Drosophila melanogaster: one gene and its partner. The protein of the gene in region 1 interacts with the protein of each later gene in a pairwise test. Each region holds a gene or a part of one and is shown on either strand. Other genes may lie near its edges.

Region 1 (5,244 bases):
TAAAGTTCTTGGCCTTCAGGCCACCGCTATCTAAAGCAGCCAACGAGTCAAGTTTCATTGCGCTTTCCTGCGAGTCCAAGCTAACCGTGCAGAAGACCTGCGTCTGACCGCGCTGGAATAGGGCGGATCCGTGGAGAGGCTTGTACATGTCCACCTGGCAGGAGATGTTCCTCAGCTGGTCGTAATCTCGTCCATCGCAACGCAGACCCCGCTCAAAGATCAGTTCGCGAAAAATGGTTCTACTGGTCTGGTTGAACTGCTCGGTAATAAGCGACGGTTCGGTATCCGGAAACGAACTCCACACCTTGTCAATAACGTTGGAGCGCACCTCGTTAACCGCATTGTCACGAGACATCTTGTCGTGCGTCGAATCCTGGAAGATCTCTCTCAGCCGCATTTCGCACATGCTACGAACGGCTTTCCCCAGTTCGGGATCTACTTCGGCAGCCACTTCCACTTCGCGCTTCTGTCGACCATAGGCCTTCTGCAGTCGCTCGATCTCGTGGATAATGAATTGGGCCTCACGAGTCCCTTGTTTGATAGCCTTTAGAAGGTCCTGCTGAAGAACCACATTCCCCTTGCCCTCCAACATAACGACGAGGTTTTGTTTGGTGGCGGAGACTACCAAATCCAGTTGCGAAGTCTGCAGCTCCCGGCGCGTGGGGTTGATCAGCACCTCGCCGTCGCAGAGGCCAACGCTTTGTAGGATTAAAAGAGTTATAAGCGGTTACCAGTTAGATTCGTTCGTGAGTACTCACCGCACAGCTCCAATGGGTCCATTCCAGGGAATGTCACTTAGAGATAGCGCCATGGAAGCGGCATTGATTGCAAGCACATCCGGACTGTGCACCGCGTCCATAGCCAACATGTTGCACACCAGCTGTGTCTCCGTGCGATAATCTTTGTGGAAGAGCGGGCGTAGCGAACGGTCGATAAGGCGGGCGGACAGGATCTCTTTTTCCGAGGGGCCCAGTTCGCGGCGCATAAAGTTCATGGGTATTCTGCCAGAGGCGGCGTTTTTCAGTCGGTAGTCAACCACCAGAGGCATGAATCCCTGGCCGGGATTTGGCTTCGCCTTGGCCACCGCGGTGACCATGACGGCGGTATCGCCCATTTGGCACACAGCTGTTCCATTCGCAAATCTCGCCAGGCGGCCGGAACTGAAGGTCATGTTACGTCTGCGGAGGATTCAAGACTTTGCTATTGGAACTCGGAGTGGAGGCCACGAACTCACCCATTGCTGAAGTTGACTTCCACGGAGGGCGCTTCTCCGTTGGAACTGCTTTGGATTCCTCTCCTTCCTCCTGGGCAGGACAAACTTAGGCATTTGAGGCGATAGTTGAGCAGCTTCAGCGATTTCCGTGTGAAAATCATGGCCATTACCTAAAAGTGCCGGGTGATTCCGGCTGAGGCGACAGTTCTGTACGCTGTATTTTCATGGTTATTTAAGAAATAATTAGTGGTCAAAATCTTACAATAAAAGCCCTGTACGTTTCTTGAGACTTGGAAGTTAGACTTAGAGCGCCTCAACTATTTGTATTGTTTAATTCAGTTATCTCAAAACTAGAATGCCCATTTAAAACAAAGTAGAGTGTGCAACATGTGTGCGTTCGGCGTTGCCACCTGGCAAGGGTAACAACAAATGAATTATATAGACAAACTATTACACGGATTATGTCTTAGGAATAATGTAGTAAATATTAATACAGCGTATTTTAAAAAAATTAATTTCGTTTCCAATAAGATATTTAGAAGGGTTCCCAGAAAATGAACTATTAGCTTGTGTCCCCGATAATGTCAAATTTGCAGTGCTGCCAACTCTTAGCAATGTTAGTTACAGCATGCAAGAAACAGCATTTAAATTCCTTTTCAGAAACGAAGAATTAAGACGGTATGTTCTGAAAGGTCCTAAAACGACCAACAGAATGACGCGACGATGTCCAAATCGCCAGATCTAAGTAATTCAAGCTAGCTAGAAAATAGCTGAGGCATCAGCACTACACAGTCCGCCAAAATTAGTCCGTCTTTTTACGCGTTTAGAGTTTTTTACCGCGAGTCGAAGACGTCTTTCACTAACTCAACGACGGTCTTACAGAAGACTCCAATATTTTTCGAGCAGGCAATTCGCGGATCCATCGTTAATTTTGGGCACTTGCAGAAAGCCCAGTTGCGAACGTCGTCGTGTGTCGTCTTAGAAAAGCCACTCCTCCAACCGGAAAACCGCAAGAGCGTCGAGCCCTTGTTTTGCGAGCCTTTTCGAAAAAAGCTGGGAATTTCACGCCGTATTTTTCGTATCTTTTCCGTCAACGAAACGCCGCGTGTGTCGTAGTGTGCGTGTGTGTGTTCTGTGTGCCCGCCCATCTGTGCATGTGTGAGAGCGCGCCTGTGTGTGTGAATTTTGGTGAGAGCCGCAACAACAACCGAAAAGAAAACCAAAATCGACAAATGCGGTCAAATTGAAAAGAAAAACAAAAAATCAAAGAGTATTCTTGCGCAAAGCCAAAAGGCAAAGTCAAAAAAGAGCGCAAAGCCAAAAAAACGCAGATTTCCCAACGAAAAGGCCGGAAAATTGCCCACTAGGCGTGTCGCTGCTTCTTCTTGTTCTTTCAAATTGTTTATGCTGCAATTGCAGTGGTGTGCGAAAGGAGTGGTAGAGAGAGAGAGAAGGAAAAGCGTCTTATCAACGCCCGCTTTCTTATCAGAACCCACACATTTGTTGCGAAAATTCCAACCAGCCGAAACTCACAGTGAAGCTTTAAATAGCACATCAAACAAACAGGTAAGTCTCATTAATCAGCTTGAAATCACCTTATTTTCTACTGCTCCTCGGTGGTCACAACTCACTGGCTGTTCCCCTCCTTTGCACTTAAGCACTTAACGGTAACTGTAAATTACACACACGTTGGCCTTGTCTCTCCTGGCGATTAATTGCATTAATGCCGCAGGACTCGCGCCATCCCTGTCACCCCACGCCAATCGATTAAAAAGTGAAAGCAATCGGGAAATGCTTATCAGTAGGTCCTCCTTCTTTGCTTTTTAAATGCATAAATACCCATGCACAGATGCACACATGCAAGCAATCAGCCCAACAATGCACTATATGAATATTTATAGCTCATTATTTATTGTCTCGCTGTTCCCGTCCATCATTTGACCCGCTAAAGAGGGCAGGTTGGTAAATAAATGAAAAGTTATCGAGATAATCGGTGGAATTGTTGGATCATTAATAATTTGTTTATTTTTTAGTTAACCTCTGACAATTTATCAATGACTTAGTAGACATAAGTCAGCTTGTTATTTTTGCATTTACCAAGATATCCGGAAGTAACATCTATTGCTCACACAAAAATATATTGGGCATTCACAATAGTGATGACTCACTGCCATGCGTGTTCACTGATTATTTTGACTTCTAAAATCATACATTTTATATTTACGTAAAGTTTTCAGAGCTGATATAAACATTAATTCAAGATATTTATTTATTAATCACTTGCACACTACTTCCAAAATACTGTACGTTTTATGCAAAATGTCGGAATAACATCAGAGATGTGATGCACAGGAAAATTCCCCATAATTCATGAAACCTATTTCCAAAATTAACAGAAAACTATTTGCGGTACTCGAACTCAAAATCTGTATTTTTATAGCACGAACATTGGAAAAGAACGCAAACCAATTAGTGAAACCATTTTGAAATCACCATAAATCAGCGTGATTGCCTGGCAATAAATTCCCGTTTCCATTTGCAGCTGACAAATGCGAGTCGTTAAAAATAGTTTTTCCCCAAAAGCGTAACTTTCCCCCGCTTTTCAAGGGCGACCCTCGCAATGTCCCGATGTACTTTCCTTATCGCTTCTGCATTTCGAGTTCTTTTTTCTGTGGTACGTCATCGGCAGCCGGGTGTCTCTGATTGTTTGAGAATCGCCTCGCCGGCTGCATAATTAAGACGAGCTGGACGTTTAGCTGATAAACGTTTCCACTTTTCATCGGCGGATGGGAGTCAATGTGCCATTCACAGAAGACCTCTACTCTGGTACACAGATGGTGATTGTTAAAGTCCAAGATCTCTGATGTGTGACCCCATGGGGTGCCCTTTTCAACTGTCAGGTCGCAACTATTGTTTCCATGTTTCGAGGGCTTGCGTCACAGTTTATCGACTCGAGTTGCGAGCTGCGAGCTGTGAGTCCCGAGAACCCGCAACCCATTCCGACAGGATGACGTAGGCAATTGGCAGAAACATGTGTATCCTGGGTATCCTGGGCCCCGTGCAGACAACAATAAACCATCAGCGCCAACCCCATGGGCAAATAAAACCCAATCGAATATTATTATCAATGAGGGCAGGACCCAAACAACGAACGCCAGTTCGAGCGCGAAGGAGGGTTGGCCACATGCTGCTCTTCCCTTGGCAGGATATCATTGCCAGCACTTGGACCCAGCCCACTGAACTTCCCAATTCCAATTCCAATCCCGACCACGCCCACATGCCATCATCGTCGCCTTCTGCGCTAATTTGGCGCGACTTTGACACTTGTTAGCCAATATGTTTTTGGCTCGTGTTAATGGCCCAACGGGAATTGATATTAATTGCGCCGCACGCCCCTCACGCCGCCCGAACTGGGCGTGGTCGTCGGTCAATATTGTTGGTCTCTAGAAGAAAAAAAAAAACAACAGAAAACGAAAAACACAAATGGCCCGAAAATCAGCTTAAATCAATTTTTTGTGGTCGCCGCCTTTTGTTCACTTGCTGGTTTTTGGTCCAAAATCGGCTTACCAACTTCGGTGCCTGTTTTTCTTGTGACTTTGGGCTTTACAAAGAGGCTCTAAGGTTCCCTTCTCGTTCAATCTAATTAATCCTGCCTTCCTTGATTGAGAATATGGGATTTGCCTTGCCCTTAAGAAAACCAGATTTCCTCACCCTTTGGCAGCCAATGAAAACTGAAAGCGCTCCCAATGTTTCCATTTTTCCAGGCCCTGTGTTTTCCTTTCATGTGCCCTAATAAAACTAAATTCAATTAGAACTTGCAGTTCGAGTTCCTTGTGCGTGTGGGAAAAGTTGGAGTGAAATGTGAGAAAAGTTTTGCGGAATATGTCGGAAAAGTGAAAGAGGGATGGGTAGGATCAGTGGCAATGGGCGGATGGCACATGGAGGGCTCATTAGTTGCCAAACGAAATCTCCGGAGGGCATGCAAATTTAATCGAATCACTTCGAGTGAAAAGCCACTTAATGATGGTTCC
Region 2 (5,102 bases), on another chromosome or scaffold:
ACATACTAAACTATCTGTATCTATTTAGATTGTTTTCAAAAAATAGTTGTTACTTGAGCAGATTTTTAAGAACACATAGAAAAGCCAAGAGTTTTTTCCAGTGCAGTTATCCGAGACTGCGGGCAGTGCAGTTTTAGTTTTTTTTTCTACTCTGCGGTCAGTTTGCTGTCTTCTTTCGATTGGCACTGAAGCGGAGCATGCGATTTCCGCTTTAATGTAATTTTGACAACGCACACACGATGCTCGAGTGGTCATGGGGGATGGGGGCGGTGCTGGGGGGTTGATGTAGGGGGGCGGTTGCGATTGAGTATCGTCATCAAGGAAATGTCATGATAAATCTTACTCGACTTTCCCGTGGCCGAAACCGTTACAGTAGCAACTGCGAATTCGATTTCGATTTGGGTTTTCGATTTCACTTTAAATTGGTTTTGATACTCTGTAATTAGGAGATCGCGATAGGGGGAAAATTAAACATTAAACACTTATTAAGTCACATGAATTTTTGAAATGCATCAAAAGGCATTAAAACAGATAAGAAGTATTTCGACAAAATAGAAATGCCATTTTCTATTTTGAATGCAGGCAGATGCATTTTACTAAAAAGAGTATCTTGAAGCTACAACGACTTGATTTCTTTTTTATAATTTTCATATTTACAGCTCTCTTATCGAGCGATTTGTTTTGCATGTTCCATTTATCTGATTTGCTGGATATTCCATTACCTGTTAACTCGATTGCAGCGGCATTTAGCAGTTGTGGAACCACTTTTCGACGCCACTGTCTTCATCCCCCCCATCGACTTTAATGCACTTATTCTCCGTCCGTTTTTTGTGCATATTGCGACGCCCTGAAGTCTGTTTCCTTATCACCCTCTTTTCGAGAACCATTAAAGTTCTTGGTGGTGACCCGCAGCAGAATCGTAAACCCAGCTTGACTCATTGATGCATCGATGAGACATTTATATTTTCCAGTTGTCCCCACACTACTTTTTCCTATTCCAAGTGCCATAGAAATGAGGAAAATCTGAGTAAAATCGTCGCTTATTATGCGCAAATCAATTTCCCAGCACCTGAAAATGTCAAACGAAGGTGTAAGAATCAGATAAGAGAAAATCTTGATGGATTGTTTAATTAATTAACCAAAGTCTAAATGGTGATTGATTGGAGCATTGAACTAGACAATGGTTTCTATTCATGGGGCGTGTTAAAGGGGGCGGTGCTGAAAACCCTGAGATATCCGATAGCTGGAAATGGTAAATAAAAATAAATAAAGACGTCTCTATATGTACGGATTACACTTAATTTGTATATCGGCAGCAATAAAATGAAAACGAGCTGACTTAGCGGAATCCCAGCTCGGTCATTTATCACCAGCACAGTAAAACTGAAATACAATCCAAAACTAGTAAAAACGTTTAACTGGCGCTTAAGAATGGAATATACCTTTTATATTTATAAAAGAGTACAATATCCACTTCTTTAGTGGTTTCTAAATTAAACCTAAAAAATGTAAATTTAATTTTTAATAAAACACATTAACCCCAAAAAGGTGAGAATATTTATTATTTATAGTACATTGTTTGAATTAAGTCCTCACATGATTAGTGAGAGGTTTGGTTTTATCTTTTATATGTTAATTGCGCTGTTATGTTACTGTTATTGCATTGTATTGATTCATCGCTTCTAAATAAATAAATATATAAAAAAAAAAACATTGTTTGAACAGATTTTTGATGCTTATATGATCGCTTTAAGTACATATATTCCCAATTAAGATCAGAAGTACCCGGTATGTTTAAAATAATGAAATCGCAAGAAATATAAGTAAATTCAGAAAAAAACACTATGCAATAAAACGTGCGAAGTTATAAAAACAATGGAAATGGAAAGAGAGGGAGAGCAAAAACAAGCGAGGGAGAACGCTCCAGATAATGGAGCTCGGTTCTAAAAAGTCGGTTCTTGGGGCTCTGTTCCGATTCTTTGTTGCGGTCAGTCGGAAAATCGAAGGCGGCGCGACGCGACATCATATCGAAACCCCAACGAAACGCGATTTATGCAACGAACGAATTCTAATTTATGCAAAGAAAAAAAAAATGTAGACATAAATTAATTTTATAACTATAGTCACATTGTGTAATGAGTGAATATAATAAATCTAAGTGTAAGCCCGGAGTAGAAATGATAAGAGTACCAATTCGCAGTGAAAAATATAAATTAAAAATATAATATATTCTACAATCTATATGGAAAGTTATAAACGTATATATTTCAATTAACTTAATAAATTCATTATAATAAAACAAACTAATAAAAAACACATGCAATTACTAGAGTACATAGTACATATTCTGTTAGTACATATTCTCAAGAGTAACCTTTCAAAATTTAGTAGATTTAGGCGATAAAAATGAGTTCCTACAGGACATTGGTGGATCATGGCCATCCGATTATAGTGGGAAGCAGTGAAATATCGCTGGCCCCGAGTTCGGCAGCCAGTTCGCCCAAGCCCCTACACCGGATGATCAAGTACTGGCGCAACAGTTCCGGAAAAATTCCGGGTCTCCGCAAAAGCGAGAGTTTCGCCGAGTATCGTCGCCATTCATCCAACTCGGCCACAATTTCGGGAGGATCAGGGGGCAGATCGAGCACTTCGAGTGCCAGGCAATTGCAATACCAGCGACTGGAGATGGAAAGCTGCGAGAATATAGATATGCTGACAGAACCACTAAGGTAAGTGCACTTAATGATAAAAACTAGTTTTTTTTTTCAATTTATTCATTAATAAATTACTCATTTTTATGAGTGCCAAGATATTAATGTGGTTAATCGTTTAGAATCAGAGCATCAGGTGGTCAAGAATTTAAAATTTGTTTGTGCCTAGCATTTGAAAGGTTTTAAAATGATTTTACCCATTTATTACCTACACATCGTAAACAAATCAATTTTATTTCTTTCTCTTGTAAATCACTTCCATGGAGACCGAGATAAATGTTGAATGACCAAATATATGCATGCATTCCATACCTGTTTATATAGAAACTACCAAAGAAGTGGCATCCATTGTCTTGCGGTTCACTTTGATGTGTAACCCCAAAAATGTGGGGCATGCAACAGTTGGTTATCTGTTTTCGGGTTTTCGAAACGCCCCTCGCAGCTGCGGTTTATCGTGTGGTTATCAGCTGTTCGTTATCAGCCGCCAACGAAAACATCGGCAAGCATGTGGATGATAAAAACGAGGGAACAAGTGCAACACGCCGACGTCATTTTGTGGATTGTGGAAACAGTTCGCGGGAGAACTGCATTTTTTGCATTTACAAATACAAGTCGAAAGTTTGTGAACACTTTTCAAAGTGATTCTTTTTCCACAAATTGTTAGATTTGGTGTACAAGACAAAAAACAATGTTTAGTCAACAAAAGTTGACGGAAAATTCTTTTTTATAACTACTATAACATACATACATACATATTCAATTTCGTATTCTGTAATACTTATTCGGGTTGACATCAGAAATCCAGAAAAATGGTATATCCAAATTGTGAAAATACTTTCTCTCGAAAAAGGCTCATGAAAGAACGTGTTCTGGAATAACACCACTTTCCAAGGGGGCGAACGCCGACTGTTTTTGGCTCGTGCCTCTGTTTACTTGTGTATTGGTGTCCCACGCCGGTTCCGGTTATTCGGTTTGTTTTGGTTATCTCTCGGTGGAGGGAAATCATTGCCTTCTGCATACTTTTGGGGTACACTGTGCAAATAATTAACTGGCAACTGCATTGCCGGCTTCTTTGAATTGCATTGTTTTCCAAACTGTTTACTTTGGCTAATGCGGGCAGCTCCGCTCTCCCCTGGCAACAACTCTTTCTGTTTGCCTAAACTGCGCGCATTTGGAATGTAAATAAATGTAAATAAACAAGAATTTCGCCCCCATAAAGGCAACAAAAGCAGTGAGAGCAGAACAACAACAAACTCGCTCTCTCGCCTTAACAAAAATGCAACGTGCACGTACAGTTAAGGTCGCAGCAATAGCACGGATTTTTATAAAATTATCTGCTCTTTAATATGAATTAATGCATATCTGTATCATCACATGTTTTACATGTTATTTCATATATCATTCCACTCTTCTTTGTCTGCGCTGCATTAAATAATTTTTATCTGTCTAAGCTTCATAATATATGTGTACATAAATAAAATCTCCATAACTGGATCCACAGCCACTATTATTTTGGCCCCCACTGTGGAGTTTGTGGATCGCATTCGCCAGTGGAACCTGAAATCTGAGCTTCGTGCGCAACGATGTTGTTCGTCGCTCGCATTCGTGTTCGTTTGGGGCCAGACCCGCAGCTTTTCTGCTTTGCGACTCAGAGTCGATTTGTGAACCAACTCGTGTGGGCGTCCGAGCCAGCGAGTGTCCGACTAAGTGTGTGCGTGTGCGAGGACGACCGGGCGTGTGTGTGAGCGTTGTCGCGCGTCTGCGTCGCGAAATCCTGATATCGGGAATCGGAACAGGAATCGTAATATATTTCGGGTCTGCGGTCCAGACGCTGATGCGTCTTCTTCATTAGCTGTTCGAAAAGTAACGGTAGAACGCAAAGCAGTTGCAAATCGACAGCAACAGAAGACGGCGAGAAGCGCCACGAATGGAAAAATCAAAACAAACAAGAAAATTGTTAAAAAAGAAGAGCAAACAACAAACGAATACTCGAATATGTGAAAGTGCTAGGTAATCAACCAAAAAAATTATAAAATTAATATAACCAATTAAGGCAATGATGATTTGTGGTTTTGAATTCTTGAAAAAAGTGAACAAAAACAAATCATGCTAAGCATAACACGCAAACTTTCTTCAACAATTAATTTGCAATTGATCCCACTGAGGCGGTTTCCTAAACAGCCTAAACAAAAGAAAGAAAACGAAAGCAATAAATAGACAAACAATAAGCAAAATGTTTGACGAACTTTTAATTGAACGTGTGTGCTTGAATAACAACAAATTGAAATCGCATTTGTTGGCCTTATCAAAAAATTAGAAGCGAAAGTGGCAAAGGTGTCTTAATGGGCAAGACAAATAGAAATCAAAATAAGTTTGCCAAAAAAAAAAAAC

The links.
Region 2: the proteins of Gprk2 (region 1) and RapGAP1 interact in a two-hybrid assay, tested with the Drosophila melanogaster proteins (one large-scale study listed by BioGRID).

The regions. Positions count from the first base shown.
Region 1 is NT_033777.3:31,403,178-31,408,421, forward strand, and holds the start of Gprk2 (G protein-coupled receptor kinase 2), read left to right. Parts: upstream 1-2,067; 5' UTR 2,068-2,779; intron 2,780-5,244. Other genes in the region: PNPase (polynucleotide phosphorylase), read right to left, coding at 1-698, 759-1,178, 1,235-1,380. UniProt on the Drosophila melanogaster protein: Specifically phosphorylates the activated forms of G protein-coupled receptors. Required during oogenesis and embryogenesis; component of a signaling pathway that functions during egg chamber maturation.
Region 2 is NT_033779.5:7,575,864-7,580,965, reverse strand, and holds the start of RapGAP1 (Rap GTPase activating protein 1), read left to right. Parts: upstream 1-1,985; 5' UTR 1,986-2,406; coding exon 2,407-2,729; intron 2,730-4,358; exon of another isoform or gene 4,359-4,721; intron 4,722-4,952; exon of another isoform or gene 4,953-5,102.